Saccharomyces cerevisiae S288C: one gene and its partners. Changing the gene in region 4 together with the main gene of any one other region gives a genetic interaction. Each region holds a gene or a part of one and is shown on either strand. Other genes may lie near its edges. The genes, in order: NNF2, FMC1, BTS1 and KSP1.

The links.
Region 1: mutations in KSP1 (region 4) and NNF2 together harm fitness more than expected from each alone (negative genetic interaction), as found in Saccharomyces cerevisiae (2 studies listed by BioGRID).
Region 2: mutations in KSP1 (region 4) and FMC1 together harm fitness more than expected from each alone (negative genetic interaction), as found in Saccharomyces cerevisiae (2 studies listed by BioGRID).
Region 3: mutations in KSP1 (region 4) and BTS1 together harm fitness more than expected from each alone (negative genetic interaction), as found in Saccharomyces cerevisiae (3 studies listed by BioGRID).

What each region holds. Positions count from the first base shown.
Region 1 is NC_001139.9:655,154-660,299, reverse strand, and holds NNF2 (Nnf2p), read right to left. Parts: upstream 3,341-5,146; coding exon 530-3,340; downstream 1-529. Other genes in the region: CTT1 (catalase T), read right to left, coding at 3,978-5,146.
Region 2 is NC_001141.2:179,250-182,179, forward strand, and holds FMC1 (Fmc1p), read right to left. Parts: upstream 991-2,930; coding exon 523-990; downstream 1-522. Other genes in the region: SGA1 (glucan 1,4-alpha-glucosidase), read left to right, coding at 1-404; glucose-induced degradation complex subunit FYV10, read left to right, coding at 1,178-2,728; BMT5 (25S rRNA (uracil2634-N3)-methyltransferase), read right to left, coding at 2,868-2,930. UniProt on the Saccharomyces cerevisiae protein: Needed for the assembly of the mitochondrial F1-F0 complex at high temperature.
Region 3 is NC_001148.4:422,321-425,796, forward strand, and holds BTS1 (farnesyltranstransferase), read right to left. Parts: upstream 1,573-3,476; coding exon 565-1,572; downstream 1-564. Other genes in the region: guanine nucleotide exchange factor MUK1, read left to right, coding at 1-466; YPL068C (uncharacterized protein), read right to left, coding at 1,895-2,776; HTC1 (Htc1p), read right to left, coding at 2,931-3,476. UniProt on the Saccharomyces cerevisiae protein: Catalyzes the trans-addition of the 3 molecules of IPP onto DMAPP to form geranylgeranyl pyrophosphate. Required for the membrane attachment of YPT1 and SEC4. May be involved in vesicle trafficking and protein sorting.
Region 4 is NC_001140.6:267,895-273,527, forward strand, and holds KSP1 (putative serine/threonine protein kinase KSP1), read right to left. Parts: upstream 3,655-5,633; coding exon 565-3,654; downstream 1-564. Other genes in the region: LRP1 (Lrp1p), read left to right, coding at 1-198; SAM complex subunit SAM35, read left to right, coding at 4,733-5,633. UniProt on the Saccharomyces cerevisiae protein: May act on PRP20.

The DNA of each region.
Region 1 (5,146 bases), on a different chromosome or scaffold from region 4:
ACTTAGTATAAATTATAGAATATTAGTTTTCGTAGCTTGTAATGTATTTGAATTGGAACCATCTAATTGTTATCTGCCATTTTAGTATTTTGGACAAGCTCCAAATATGTGGTCCTAAGTTCATATCGAGGATACAGATTATTTGGGCCGTATCTTTGATGTCATGGAGAGTAGTGTGGCCTTCCAAGTCCTGGGGCAGCTATTAATTAGGGAATGTTTTGATCAACAACTTAGTGTTAATAGTAGACACAACGATGTGAACTGTTCAATACATCAGCAAACATTCTTAGTTTTTCTCATATTTTATGTTTACTTATGTTAACCTGCATTATTTCCATAAATAACAAAAGGCAAAAAAGTAACAAATGAAGTTATTAGGAAACAATAAAAAAACAATATCGAGAAAAAAACGACTGACTACATTTAAAGTAGAACGTCCAAGTAATAAATACATGTATATATTCAATAGAAGTAAATTTTAGGATGCTACAAAACGAATTCTTATCTATCTTTGTTTTCTAATCTTCCATCAGTAACTATTACCAATTAGACTATGTATATTTTCATTCTCATTTTCTAATCTGTTGATATCTTGCTCTAACCCCTTTATAGTCAATTCAAATTTATTGGCTTCGCGTATCCTGTACTCCTTTCTTCTAAATCTATCCTTTTCTCTTTTACTCAAAAATTGAGTACTGAACTTTTCTATCTCTTCTGCGTTCTGATCGACCTCCTTTTGTAACTTCTCGTTTCTCGCGTTCAATTTGTCCAGTTTAGAGCCTAGTTGAACTAATTCTTGATTGACCTTTTGGAACCTCCCTTCTGAGTTTTTCAGGTCTTTCGATAAGCTTTCTTCTAACTTACTGAACTCTAATTGATTTTTCAAGTGTAGATCTTTCTTTTTCAAGTATTCCTCTTCTAATTCAAGCTCTTTTTCAGTGAGAGTTTTCAATTGCATCTCTAACTTATTTACCGCAGTCTCACTTTGCTGTAGGGCAACCTTCAAATTTTCGACTTTTAAAGTGCTCTTTTCGTCATGTGTTGCGTTCTGTGAAATCCTGCCTTTAAAATAATCAATTTCTTGTCTCAAAAGACTTAACTTCTTGCTGAATTCCTTTTTTGTCTTTTTCAATTTTGTCCTTTCATCGGACAAATTTGCGTTTGTAGTTAGCACGGAATGCTTCAGAGTTAGCAACGGAGATAAGAATTTCCTATGGTAGTATGAAGGGAAGCTGAAATCAAGGTTTTCAAATTTTCCGGCAATCGCATTGTTATTCCCACAAGTCCTTACAATTAAATCAGAAACCAAATAATCATCTCGGTGATTTAGTCTGTTGATGAATTGAATATCATAAGAACAAGAAGGGACTAATCCGTTAACGACAACGTATTCTTCGCCTACATGCTCTAAAATTAAAGCGCAAGAAACTTCTGACCAGATAACACCGTTTACTAAAACAATGAGTTCGCCATCATGTAAATTTTCAATATGGAATGTAATAGAGTTTGTGCTAATATCAATAATGCAAACTTTGTAGTCATTATCATTTCTATTGAAAATATTTTCATTGGTGGAAACTAAATTTAAAAGATTGTAGTCATCAGATGTTGTCTTTGCAATCAGGGCCATAGTATTTGAAGGTTCGAAATTGTTAAACACGCTCTTCTTAAACTTTCCGGCATGGGTGAAACTAATTCTTGATGAAACTGAATGTGTATTAATCGTGTCCAAATCTTTGTCATGTTTTTCCTGATTACTGACGTATGAAGTATTCGAATTTGTTGGTGTTAGTGAATTTTCAGAGGTTTCTTGTAAGTATTTTTTTTCAAAATTCGTTGTTTTTAATGTAACTACCATAGACCAAAGAGGTGCAATCAAGTGTTGATTCTTTCTTCTGAATAGAAGACGGATAAAATTTTCCAAGTTTGATGTAACAGATATGTCTGAAGATAATTTGCTAGAAGAAAACATGTTCCCAAAATCAACATTCAGTTCAAACAGTTGGTTAGTATACTTGTCATTGGAAGGGGAAAAGAAATCAGAATCCTTTTTCGAATTTCCATTCGAGGAATCAGATAGAGAGATTTCATTTGACAAACTAGTGTTATCACCAGAAAAGTTGAACGTTGTAGGAGAGGTTGTTGTACTGGTAGTAGTAGTAACGGCTTGAGAATTGCTTCCTTCAGCAGAGATTACCGATGGCTGATATGACTTATATTCCTTGACCATAGAAGTGAAATAGGGAAAACTAGAAGTAGCATCAGTAGGATAAGAGGCGGCAGGGTTCAAAATATTACTGTGTGATGATAGGGGAACTGGCGAGTTATTTTGTTGGGATGGATGGATAGTTTGATTGCTGCTGCTAAGTCCACCTGGATCGTTCGGTATCATAGGACTTTGGTCCTCTAAAGTGTTCGAATCGGCAGAAACGGAAGAAGAAGAAGAAATTCTCATCTTTTGCAGACCTTGAACACGGGCTACATCTGGTTTAGTTGAATTGAAACCCTTTTTCAATGGCTTGTTTTCCGCTGTTTGTCTATGAGGGTGTAATAAACTTGAAGCAAATGAGAAAAAAAGGATGTGAAAGGATAGATAATAAATCATACTGTCTGAATGTTTGCCAAGCATCTTGAAAGGCATTGGCAAAAATAGAGAGAAAAGCTTTTTGAAAAACTGTGAATACTTGCGAAAAACCGTGAATAATTTAATTGATTGGCCGGTTCCTCGTAAAGACATATCAAATAACTGTATAATGTCAAAGAAGTGTGACACTCTTTGAAAAGTGTTAGTTGACACAGCATACAATACTGAGCATGAAGTTGCATAGCTTAAGCAATCGCTTGGATCATTGATCAAAAATGAGGCAATAATAGAAATTGCCAGATTTTTTATTGGCTTAACAAAATAATCGCCACCGTAAATCTTTAGTAACATTGCAAATAAAATTTCACAAATTAATACGGGGATCGGAATGACGAAGCTATTTTTTGAATTGCCAAAAAATCGTGAATTAGATTTTCGGTTTGAACTACCATTGGTCACTTTGGAAGTACTTATATCTATGTGCGCCACTTCACCGATATGGCGGGAAGGTTTTTTCGATAGGAAAAGTATAATAAAACAATTTGCCAGAAAATCTTTGCATTTGGTAGCAACAATAAAGGAAACCAATAAACATAGGGAAGTGAAGTGGTTAAAACTCAAAAAAACCAGGAACAATGCAAGCGTATCTTTAAACCTATGTTTTTTGGCAAATTCGGTGGGCTGTTCACTCCTTTTAGTGTTCATTAATGACTGTAGATGTGATACTTTCTTCTGATTAGTAAATTGTTCCTCCATGAAAATTGTGCATGGATCCTTTTATGTAACGGAGATAGGTGGAATCTTAAAAAATATTGGGGTGTATATGAATAAAAGTTATTCAGAGTGATTACCTAAAGAGATGGTACGAAAAATGTGGAGATAGAAAACAAAAAACTTTGGTAAGATATTATTATAACAGAAAGAATTTAAAGTTTTCTCTGCTGGTACTCTGTATAATCCTCTTAGTCCTAATAAAATTTGTTTATTCCTCTTTTAATAGAAACTAACGAGTTGTGAAAACCTAGTTATGTTACTTGTTATATTACACCTTCAAGAGGTTTAGGAATTCAACGTTATAAACACACAACTGCATAAGTTAGGCTACTTTTTTTTTTCAGATTGTCCGTATAATGCGATAATCGTTGAGTTCATGCCGATCTAAGTACCGAATTAGAAAAAAATGTGTCAAAAGTAGGCAGCCAATCTGTTTTGCTGCCATATTTTTCCTAACAGGATTTGCTATGTATGAAGTACGATAAGTATGAAATATTAGTGCTTGTACATACGACCAATTTGTAATAACTAGTGATGTAGAGAATAAACTTAAAGAAAACTTATGAATAAATAATTATGGAGATATAATTACGAATAATTATGAATAAATAGTGCTGCCTTAATTGGCACTTGCAATGGACCAAGTCTTGGCATAACCTTCAAGGTCAACAGGTTCCCAAGGAACTCCCAAGCATTCTGCAATGACTTTACCCAAATCTTCGTTTAGCAAACCAAAGTATTGCGTAACTCTCTTTTTGACTTTAGGATCTTTGATCTTACAAGCGTGGCAAACAACGTTATGAACGAATAATTTCTTCTGTTCATCGTTGTATACCTTTTCATATAGAGCTCTTGGCTGTTCGAAGTCTAGTGGACTAATACCATAAACGTAGTAATATTGATTAATTTTGGCATCAACAATATGCTCGTTTCTGATTTGGTCTTGTTCCTGTTTTCTCACAGAAACTTCTGTTACTTCGTCAAGAACTATCCCTTTGAACTTATCAGATACTTCGTCGTTGTCTTCATTTTTGAATTTCAGAGTTTGATTTGGTAAACTGGAAATATAATTTGGCTCAGGACCGAAATTGTAGTAACTCATTGGGCCGTCCCTTTGGAAGTTCACTGCTTTAAATGGACACTGTTCGGCAGTGTATTGGGAATCACCTTTGGAGTATGGACATCCCAAGTTTCTTGGTCTGTTGACGGGCAATTGCTGATAGTTGGCTCCCAATCTATGACGTTGAGTGTCTGGATAGGAGAAAAGTCTGGCTTGTAGAACGGAATCATTAGAAGGCTTAATACCTGGGATACAAGTGTTCGTTGGACTGAATGCAACTTGTTCAATTTCTTGGAAATAATTGTCAACATTCTCCGTTAGGGTGATGGTACCAAATTTTCTCAAAGGGAATTCCTTGTGTGGCCATATTTTCGTTAGGTCATTTACCGAATACCTGAACTTAGTTGCTTGTTCGGGTGTCATTGTTTGCACATAACAGTTAAATTTTGGCTTTTCGCCATTTTGCAATTGAGTGAACAGCTTTGCCTGATTATAATCAGGGTGGGAGCCTGACAGTTCAGCAGCCTTATCTCCAGTCAAGGTTTCAAAACCAGTATCCGACAAGACGTGGAATTGCACATATGTGTCCTTACCTTCTTTGTTGACCATGATGAAGGAATGACCAGAGTACGCGTTCATACTAGCCCACGAAGCAGGAGTACCTCTATCACCAAACATGTAAGTTATTTGATGGATTGATTCCGGATTCAATGTTAGATAATCCCAGT
Region 2 (2,930 bases), on a different chromosome or scaffold from region 4:
ATCCCTGGGTCCTGGCCACGTGTACCGCTTCAACAACGCTTTATCAGCTCATTTACAGACACATCTCTGAGCAGCATGACTTGGTTGTCCCAATGAACAACGATTGTTCGAACGCATTTTGGAGCGAGCTGGTATTCTCCAACCTCACGACTTTGGGAAATGACGAAGGCTATTTGATTTTGGAGTTCAATACACCTGCCTTCAATCAAACCATACAAAAAATCTTCCAACTAGCTGATTCATTCTTGGTCAAGCTGAAAGCTCACGTGGGAACAGACGGGGAACTAAGTGAACAATTTAACAAATACACAGGGTTTATGCAGGGTGCCCAACACCTTACCTGGTCCTATACTTCATTCTGGGATGCCTATCAAATAAGACAAGAAGTTTTACAGAGTTTGTAGACAAAAAAAAAAATAAAAGGAAAGCGAGAAGTATACACAAGTGTATTTCCTAGATATTTACATCAAATATATATATATACTTATTTACAAAACTCTGATATTATAAATTGATTAGATACTATGTCGGAACGTCCAGCCCAACCACGTTTGCAGTTCTTTTCACTTTCTCATCCTGTGTCAACTTGTTGCCAGGATTGTATCTGTCGACCAGCTCCTCGTATTCTCTTTGGTTGTCCAAGAACTTGATGATGTCCAAAGCGTGTTCGAATATCTCGTCAACGTTTTGTCCCTGGGCCACCTTTTTCTCCCACTTTATATCGTTTTGTAATATGGAACGTAATGACTTAGAGTCGGCTATAAACAAATTCAAAGATCTGTCGCTTACCGGATCTAGTTTTTTCCATTTCTCTAACTGTCTGTTGATGTTCTCATGCGAGTCTCTCTGATTTTGTTTCTTAGCATATTCCAACTTTGTTATCATTGCCTTTCGTAGATTGCCCCAATTGACTATCTTGCTTGGCCTTTCATATTTCAGAATGGCTCTTATGAGTCCTCTATATGTGCGTAATGTTCTTGGTCTATCCATTTCCCTGGCACTCTCTCTTTCTCTCTCTTTTCAGCTTTTTGTTATCCACTTATCGCTGCAAATGAAACTCTAGTGCAATTTGAGATATTCACTTTTTGCAAAGGCGAAGAGAAGGGGGTGGTTAAATCTACAATTTCATACATAAAACAGAGAAAATGATTATAAATTATAGGAAAGTAGGTAAGCCATGGCAGAGAAATCAATATTTAATGAGCCTGATGTGGATTTCCATTTGAAATTAAATCAACAATTATTTCATATTCCTTATGAACTACTGTCCAAACGTATCAAGCATACTCAAGCGGTAATTAATAAGGAAACCAAATCACTACATGAACACACGGCCGCATTAAATCAAATATTTGAACATAATGACGTTGAGCACGACGAGTTGGCACTAGCAAAAATAACTGAAATGATTAGGAAAGTTGACCATATAGAAAGATTTTTAAATACGCAAATCAAGTCCTACTGTCAGATTTTGAACAGAATTAAAAAAAGGCTGGAGTTTTTCCACGAACTGAAGGACATCAAGTCACAAAATTCAGGAACATCGCACAATGGAAATAATGAGGGTACCAGGACTAAATTGATACAGTGGTATCAGAGTTATACAAACATTTTAATTGGTGATTATCTGACGAGGAATAACCCGATTAAATACAACTCGGAGACAAAGGATCATTGGAACTCTGGCGTAGTGTTTTTGAAACAGAGCCAACTGGATGATCTCATTGATTATGATGTCCTCTTGGAGGCTAATAGAATTTCGACTTCGTTACTACATGAGCGTAATCTCTTACCCCTAATTTCATGGATAAACGAGAACAAAAAGACACTGACCAAAAAGTCCTCTATATTAGAGTTTCAAGCAAGATTGCAAGAATATATTGAACTACTAAAGGTGGATAACTATACCGACGCTATAGTATGTTTTCAAAGATTCCTTTTACCATTCGTTAAGAGCAACTTCACCGATTTAAAATTAGCATCTGGACTTCTGATTTTTATCAAATACTGTAATGATCAAAAGCCAACTTCTTCTACCAGCTCTGGATTCGATACTGAAGAGATTAAGTCTCAAAGTTTACCAATGAAGAAAGATCGAATATTTCAACATTTTTTTCACAAATCTTTACCTAGAATTACCTCCAAACCTGCGGTGAATACAACAGACTATGACAAGAGTTCCTTAATAAATTTACAAAGTGGAGATTTCGAAAGATATCTGAATTTATTAGATGATCAAAGATGGTCGGTATTAAATGATTTATTCTTGAGCGACTTTTATTCCATGTATGGCATATCACAAAATGACCCTTTATTGATATACCTGTCACTAGGTATATCGTCTTTGAAGACAAGAGATTGCCTGCACCCTTCTGACGATGAAAATGGAAATCAAGAGACGGAAACTGCCACAACAGCAGAGAAAGAAGTTGAAGATTTACAACTCTTTACGCTACATTCACTAAAAAGGAAAAATTGTCCCGTTTGCAGTGAGACTTTCAAACCAATAACACAGGCATTACCATTTGCTCATCACATTCAGTCTCAATTATTTGAAAATCCAATACTATTACCAAATGGAAATGTTTACGACAGTAAAAAATTGAAGAAATTGGCCAAAACATTGAAAAAGCAAAACTTAATTTCTTTAAATCCAGGTCAAATTATGGATCCAGTTGACATGAAAATATTTTGCGAATCAGATTCTATCAAAATGTACCCAACCTGAAATAGTTTCAAGCTATATGCATTTTTTTATATAAAGATTTGTCCAACTTTCACAACTATTTTACAGATACTTACGCTATATAAGAATTAGGGAAAATGAAAGTTCTTTCATCAACATGGCGACATTCTTCCTTCTGTACTTAGTCTGAATCAGAATCTGTGTCTTTTTTGCTTTTACGGTTATGTTTTGAACTATTCGAGAC
Region 3 (3,476 bases), on a different chromosome or scaffold from region 4:
TGACATCGTGACTCCTACTATCCAAAGGCCAGATGTTACAAGATCGAATTCGTATGATGGCTTCAGGACCGTTTTTGATTCATCATTAAAAAATATCATCGGAAAAATTAGGTCATATACTCCACCACATCCTAACAATACTAGCAATAATAACCTTCACAGTAGCAACAACTTAAACATACCACGAAGTTCGTCTCAATTATCCATGGAATTGAGCAATAGAGATACAACAGAGATGTCTAGGGATGGCTCACGATCAACTTCATCATCTTCACGATCTTCAGCATCTTTAGAGCACGGAAATCGCGAATTTACCGGCGATTTGACAGTAACCGCTAGCATTAACGGTGCTGATAAAAAGGAGTTTCAGAAATCGTGGAAAAAATATAAAGGCTATAAATTTGAAGATTTGACTATTTGCGAACTAAGAGATCTTTTTGAGATATATCAAAAGATGATGCAATGAAACGTATATATGAAATCGTATGTATAGATGCGAAAGAGGAGGAGAGAAGGCTTTATTTCTGACTATCTTCCTCCACTAATTTGATTGATCAATTTATTTCACAATTCGGATAAGTGGTCTATTATATATAACAATTCGTCATGTAAATTGGTGGCGGTGTCGGAATGCGAAGCCAAATCAGGTAAATACTTATTTTCATTATCATTTTTTATCATATTCACTAATTGATTAATAAAATTTTTGGTGTAGGCCAATGAATTGGTGTCGAATTCCAGTATTTGAATCAGCTTTAGTTTTATATCTTTATCACTTGTCCTCAACAGGAGAATTCTTAGAATTTCATTGTGTTGCTCAGTTTGACCTTTCGTTTTAGTGAAGTTAAGGGCGTGGACGATGGGAAAAGATAACTTCCCCTCTGTAATGTCCTCAGCAAAGCCTTTTTCGCTGGACATTTGGAAATCTTTCAAATTCAAGTAATCATCTCTAATCTGATAAATAATACCCAGAAGATTTATGAAAGGAACCAACGAATGGCCGTGGTGTGAGGAAGGAGACAGCGCTTCCATGAGTCTCAACGTTAATCTGAAAAGGCCGCCTGTTTTATTCATAACCATATTCAAATACATCTCCTGAGTAGGTATGATTTCAGGCAGAAAGTCTCTCCAGTATATATCCAAGCCTTGTCCCCTATGTAGATTGATCAATTCTTCGTTGAAAATCGTAATCAAATTATGATACAAAGGCTCTTTTGTGGTTAGCTGCGATACAAGTTGCATGGCTCTGAAATACATATAATTTGCGGTGTTTATAGTGGAGGGTACACCGAAGATTAAGTGAGAAGTGGTCTGTCCCCTTCTCAAGGGAGCATTATCTTCTATATCGTCGATTAAAAGGCTGGAATTATGCAAGAGCTCAACAATTTGCGAAACTATGGCCAGCTGGTCTTTGGGCAAATTCATAACTCTGTTAATTTGAACTATTAAATTTAGTCTAAAGTTCTTGCCAGGTTTCAAAAGGATGTGATTATAAGGTTTTGAAATCAAGCTTTCATTTTGGCTGGACCAAACAGGATCATTATTGATCAGCTCATCTATCTTGGCCTCCATTGATTTTCCAGACTCGTAAACGCTTTGTTCTCTTTCTATTAGTAGCTTCTTTGAAAATGAGCCTTACATGGTTTTGTAAGCACATCTGTCTTGACTTTTTTTTTGCTTCAAAAAAACGTCAAAGAAGGCAAGGCGAAGCAAAGAAAAATGGTAGTAAGCATACAATGATCAGCATAACATATGCAAAAACACGTAATTTCTGCTATGCTGGAAGCGGTGAACGTTGGATACCACTATAATAATAGAAGTTTACCTTTCAGTATGAAAATGCGGGCTTGTCCTATATCTATATGTAATATTATGGAGTGAGTAGAGATGGCGGCTATACATCGTTGTAGAGAGTTATATCTGTATTGTTAATTAAAGATTGGCCAGGCGAAGGTTGGTTCCTTTTTGCTTTAAATCTGCTTTTATGGGGCCATACCAGAGAATTATTTCTTTCTTTCAGTATTGGCTTGTCAAGCTTTTTGATAATGCTATTAAGTGTCAGCGAATTCGCCGTAGTTTGCAACGCTGTGTTGTTTGTATGGCAATTGTTATTATATACTTCCAAATTAATCAAATCTACCAGGTTAATAGAATGCAAATTCGCTATCTCATGGATGATGTCATTGTGGTAGGCAGTGCCGCTGTGACTGGGGTGGCTAAATGGAGGTTTCCTCTCAGCTAGCATTTTTTTCAATTTGTCTGAGTGCGCTTGAGAGGAGGCCTTTAATTTGGAAGTAGTGACTGGTCTTGTCTTCGAGTCACTGTTTAATTGCTCGAATGAATATAATAGGTTTACGATGTTTTGTAGGAGTTTTAGATCATTGGGCAGCCTTAACATTTCGAAATTTTTCAAGCCGGCGAGAGTCGGCTTATGTATATCTTTATAAAATAATCTTTGTTGTCTTTTGATGAGATTGGACAAATTTTTCTGAACTTCCAATACAGAGATCTTTTCGGGATCATCATCAGGTGAAGATAGGCTGGCGCTATTGTGGAATTTAGGGCGCTGCAGAGGCTTAGGTATTATTATATTTGAGGTGCCCAGTGTTGTGGTTGTGGCTCGAATAGCTGGACTAACCATGTTTTGTGCGACTACTTTACGCTTCTTAGGGACAATAATGGATGGTACCGCTGCCGTTGTGGTTGAAGGAGGATCGGACGTCTGATTTCTCCCTGAATAGTCAACCCTTTTTCTTTTCCTGAGTTGCATATGCATATTATATTGTATGTGCTTGTGTAGGTAGAAGCGTCTTTTATTTATCTACTGTCTCATCAGCTCATCGCATCATTAATACCAGTATCGGTTATAGTACATAATTAACAAATGTATGTAGCATTTTGGCATGCTGAAAAAAAAAAAAAAAACTTTATCAGGCAAGTGGCTCGAAACCGTGTGAAAGGATATCATCAACGGTCGTTTTTACCTGTTCCGCGGAATAGCGTTCCCGTGGGAAGAAAAGCAGCACGTGAGCGTGGAAAATCCGGGCAACACTTTGTAGTTCCGGGTAGTTGACAAACCAGGCCACGTGACCCGAGCTTAGAAGTGGACGCAGTAGCGGCTGTGCCTGCAAAAATGCATTCATGCGAGCGCGGGCCGCTTCGCGCACGGCCTTATCTGGGGAATGTACTGGCAGGGCAACCTTGGACCAGAGAACAAGGTGTACAACACCAGGCTCGAAGTTATACGGGAAATCGTTGGCACGCACAGCATATAGAGTAGAAGAACTAAAAGCCTTCGCGGCAGCATTTTCGAGCTGCGGTTCGTCTAGCGACCAGCCTAGTTTTTGCAAAACGTACTGGTTCATGTCCAGGCCAGCAGTCCTTTTCTTATGCTCGTGGTATTTGTCAGTCATCTGGCGACTTCGTTTCAAACGGGCAAGCTCCCCCGATTCAATTATCTCTTTGATTTGTTCCCA
Region 4 (5,633 bases):
GACGGTAATAAAAACCAATTCGAGCCCTCTATAAGCAGGAGCAACTTTCAAGGGAAGCATACGAAATTTGAAAACGATGAACTGGCAGAGAGTACAACGACTAAGATTATTGACAGTACCGATCATATAAGGAAAGCAAGTAGTAAGAAAAGTAAAAGATTGGATAAAGTTGGAAAAAAGAAAGGAGGGAAGAAGTAGAGGTCGACGTATACTGGTACATGAGTGAAAAAATGATTAAAGGTGATGTGAGAGCACAAATGCAAAAATGCTTATAGGGTTTATATACTTTTATAATAACAATAAGAACTCGTTGAAGTAACTAATATGTGTATATGCTATTCTTGTAGTTGGCAGTGAACACTTTTGTGTGAATTGACGTTATATAAGACTGTAGAAATATCTAAGAAAAGAGAGTTTTCATAAAACCCTTCAAGCTTAACTACCAAAAAGCATTCATACTTAGAAGTTGAAATGCACGATGATGCCAAATTGATGAAAAAAGCTAAAAATGCATTTCAGAAGGGAAGAAAATAATAAGCAACATAACAGAGGGAATAGGTGCGCTTAGTCTTGTTGCTGTAAAATTAACCAATTATTCTTGTATTGTTCTAACGATCCGACCATTTCATCCTGAATACTTGTCTTCCTGCCAGCTCCTAATTTTTTATCGTGAGTGGAGCCAGCGAAAGTTTGAGCATAAATTTCATAAGGACCGAAAATTTGCCTTTCATCCGGGGAGGTTGACGAGGATTCGTTGTCACCACCTTCCATTTTGCCATGTGCCATCTTGTCACTTTCTCCTTCGTATTCTTCGTCTTCGAAAATTATGGCGTCATTGTTAGAGTCTGCGAATACGTCTTCATTTTGCAACGCAATCGTAGTGCTTGAATGATTACGAGGTAATAAAGGTTTAGGGAAGCCAACGAAGGAGCTTTTAGCTCCTGGTGAAGAGGACAACTTCTCGAGTGCTTTATTCATATGCAGTGGGTTAGATTCATTAGCACTGGAACGCCTGGAATTGTAAGATCCACCAAAATTAACAGAATTATGCGAAACTGACAACGTGGCCTCGTTACTTGTCTTCATATTCATAGGAGGTACCTGTGTTCCCAAGTTGAAACTCTTCCTATGATGAGGTGGAACATAAACCCCATTTTTAAATTTTTGTTCCATACTGAGTCTACGCTCCTGCTCTAGCTCCTTAGAGTCAGATGAGTGTGAATATCGATTGCCAATATTACCTGTTAAAATTGGATCAATTGGTCCAGAAGATAAATTTAAATGTGCTTCAGATGATGCTGGTGATTTTAGTAAATCTGGTAGTTCATTAGATTCATTATTGTTATTGTTGATATGCAATGATGTTGTCAAAGGAGGTGGAATATATTGTCTATGATATTGATTAGTGGTACTATTGGTGTCGATATGGTTGTTGTTGCCATTGTTATTGTGATTAGTGCTTGCGTGAACAAATACTTCATTATGGCTACCTACCGTTGTATGCGGTAAGTGATCATTTATAGATAAGTTGTCCATACCATTGACGAAATCATGATCACCTTCTTCAAGAGTGAATAAAACGTCGTCTGAATCGTGATCGCCCTCAGAATCCATACTATCCTGAGTGTAGTGTTCCTGGTATGAAGGCTTCCCACCTAAAACGGTAGAGATATCAGGAGCAGTTGATTGCGGAACTCTTAAAAACTGATTCGTTGGGCTTACGTGATGGTTCCTGGCATTTGGTGGAATATAAGCGCCTGGTGAATGTTGAACTGTAGTCGTAGAACCACGCCTTGCATAACCATTTATAGAACTATTGTTGTTATGATTATAGCTCATGTTGTACCTTGAAAGTGGTGACTTACCGGTATAACTGGAGGAACTTGGTCTTCTGTATTTGTTAAAGTTTTTGTTCCAACCCTTTATATAGCTATTACCATTGTTAAAATTATTATAATTACTTCCATGATTGTTATTGCTGTTGTTGTTATTATTGTTGTAATTACGATTCTGTCTGTACTGTTTATTGTTGTTGTTGGAAAACCCCTCCATATACCTGTGCTGGACACTTGGAGGAGTGAAAAAATCTCTGGTGTTGAATTCATCCCTTGCTTTGTAATCGTGGAAAAAATTATTCATGTGTGTATTAGGCGTTGGTATGCCAAGAGGCTTCCTTGATTTTTTCAAAATTTTACTTTTCTTTCTATCTTCGATATTGACTGGTTTGGAAAATTGATTATCAGTTCTTCCGTACTTATTGCGCTTCTTAAATTTGAACTTAGGAGCAGATTTAGCCCTTTCATGAGTAGATAGTGTTGTATTATAACCCTGGTTGAAAAATTTCTGTTGTTGTGTAGACGGTTTTTTAAAGAAGCCGCTTGCAACATTTTGATTTTGAGAGACATCTGACCGTTTCCTTTCATTCACATTATTGAAATTGAAATCCTTTTTAAATTCAGGCATATGTTGTTTGTTACTAGATGAAATAGGAGTAGGTAATGATACCGGTGCTGAAGATGGAGGAACAGGCTGAGGTGGCAAACCGTCAATCATAGTTTCTTCATATCCTTCATCCAAGTTATTATAGTATTCATCGTCTAATGTATACTCAGATAAGTTCTGTAGTTCAGTTCTCATCATTTTCAAGTCTCTATTAGCCGGATCGATGGTTAAACTATACCTTAATACTTGAAAGAAATCATAAGCCATTGTCGAAAATACATCAAACAACGCTTCTCTATTAGCAGCAAAATAACAGAATGACTTGTCGGATTGATTGGCAATACTAAAAGGATTCTTATGGAAAACAATATTAAGAAACACAATTCCCATAGCCCATAAATCCACTTTGGCACAGTCATAAGGTTCCTTTCTTTCCTTGATATCCAAATTACTATCAAAAAGTTCAGGGGACATATATCTTTCACTACCGACATTTCTATCCATAGACGTCTTATCTGTAGTAGCCAATCCCCAATCTGTAAGCTTAATTGTCCAATCAATTCCAGAAATTAAAATGTTCTCAGGTTTTATATCACGATGATAAATGCCCTTGTTATGAACATATTCAATTGCATCCATGATTTGTGTGATAATATGAGTGATCGATTTGGTTTTCTTAGGCACAGCATCGGCTTTGATCGCCTCATATAGGTCACCGCCAGAGCAATATTCCATGATGATGTAAGAGTCGAAGAAATCTAATAGAGCAGCAATATTTTGGTGTCTACCAATTTTTGTTTGAATATCAACTTCATACATGGCTTCGAGACAAATGTTATTAGATAGTCTTGATTTAACTTTCGAAGAAATTAGGGACTTTTTGTGTTTGTAGAGATTGTGTTTCTTCTCTCTACTTGACCCGTTATTACTGGAGGCATTACCATTTTCATTTTCATGGCGATCCGTATCAACTTTCGTGTCTTCATCATCATCACAATCGCTACTATCACAATCATTTTCGTCGTCCTGAGGCCCATCGTACTGGCCGTCATCTTCTAATTTGAAAATGTATTTGACTGCAACCAATCTTTTCTCTCTAACATCTTTAGCCAATGATACATAACCATATGAACCTTCACTGATATCCTCTATTTTTTGATATCGATTATTCAAAATACCTCCTTCTTTGTAAATCTCGTAATCTAAAGTCATCGAGTTTCAAAAAATTGTAAGAAAAAAATATTGCACTAACTTTACGTGTCTTTTTGTTTTGTATTTGAAATTTCTAAGTTTTTGGAAGTTTTTAATTTTTTTTTTCCTTTTTTATTTTAGGTTAAAGTATAGTGAAAGAATAGTAGGGTTAACGGAGAGAAAGAATCCGGTAATATGCAGTCTATAAGGCCTATAAGATTTGATGGCGGGTATGAAGCAGGTTTTTTTTTTTTGGCTTTTTCTTCTAAGAAAAAATTTATAGAGAAAAGATGTCTTTAATTATAACCTATTCTTTTTTTTTTTGCCAGCTAATACCAGTAAGTTTTGTTTTTTTGCGACACTAGATTGGAAGAGTAGAATCAGAAAATGAACCTTCTGTAAGTATAAAGAAGTCTTTTTTCTCTTTGATACTACTGTATTCGTGGTGTCCCTTTTCAGAAAACTATAGCTTTGAGCCTGTATGCTATTTTTCTATTTCCTTCTTTGCAGTTCTTTTTTGAGCAGAGAACAATATCCGGGTCACGTGAAAGTTAGATAAGCATGCAAAGATAGCCAGAGAGATTTCGAAGTTGAATAAAACAAGGGAATGGGTCACTTGTTATATTCTTTACAGATTGAGAGTGCAGTAATATTCTGCGGACGCCAGTAAGTACTGTTTGAGGTTGTATTTTTATAGTAGAGGACACTTGAGACTGTGTAAAATGCGCTCACCAAAAAAAAGGGTCTGTTTGCGATCAACAAACAAATAATAAGATAAGTTAGGGAAAAGAAAGGTGAACACTGTTGCGGAATGCGTGGACTGCTTGTGTAAAAATGCTAGTAATGAGGGAAGTGTGGACTTGATATGGCCTGTTGTGGAAGCCTGAGAGTTCTTTCACGTGCTGTGTTCGGCCCGCCTATATAGGGACAAATTGTTAAAAAGATAAATAAATATAATCTGCCTCGGAAGGGGTTGGGAACGCCCGGCAGTAGCGATGAGGGTAACGGGACGATATTTAGAAGTGAATGCTGAAATAAATGGTGTGAAGGCCTCTTGTATGTCGTCTCATATAGGGCTAAAACGAAGCCATCGTGCACAATGGTAAGTTCATTCAGTGTTCCCATGCCAGTAAAACGGATATTTGACACATTTCCGTTACAAACATATGCTGCGCAGACTGACAAGGACGAGGCCGTTGCATTAGAAATACAGCGGAGGTCCTACACATTCACAGAACGCGGTGGTGGAAGCTCTGAGTTGACTGTGGAGGGGACGTACAAGCTAGGTGTTTACAACGTTTTTTTGGAGGCAAATACAGGGGCGGCATTGGCCACAGATCCATGGTGTCTGTTTGTTCAGCTTGCGCTGTGTCAAAAGAATGGTCTAGTCTTACCCACGCACTCGCAGGAACAAACCCCATCGCATACCTGTAACCATGAAATGCTCGTTCTGTCCCGTCTTTCTAACCCCGATGAGGCCCTACCTATTCTAGTTGAGGGTTACAAGAAGAGAATTATAAGATCCACCGTGGCAATCAGCGAAATTATGAGGTCTCGGATACTTGATGATGCTGAGCAGTTGATGTACTATACGTTGCTGGATACCGTGCTGTACGATTGTTGGATCACGCAAATAATTTTCTGTGCCTCAGATGCGCAATTCATGGAATTGTACTCTTGCCAGAAGTTAAGTGGTTCGATAGTCACTCCATTGGACGTAGAAAACTCTTTATTACAGAAGTTGTCCGCAAAGAGTTTGAAGATATCCCTAACAAAGCGGAACAAGTTCCAGTTCCGCCATCGAGAAATCGTCAAGAGTATGCAAGGAGTTTATCACAACCATCACAACTCCGTTAATCAAGAGCAGGTCTTGAACGTTTTGTTCGAGAATAGCAAGCAAGTTCTTTTAGGTTTAAAAGATATGTTGAAAAGCGACGGGCAACCCACTTACTTACATCTGAAAATTGCAAGTTACATTCTTTGTATAACGAACGTTAAGG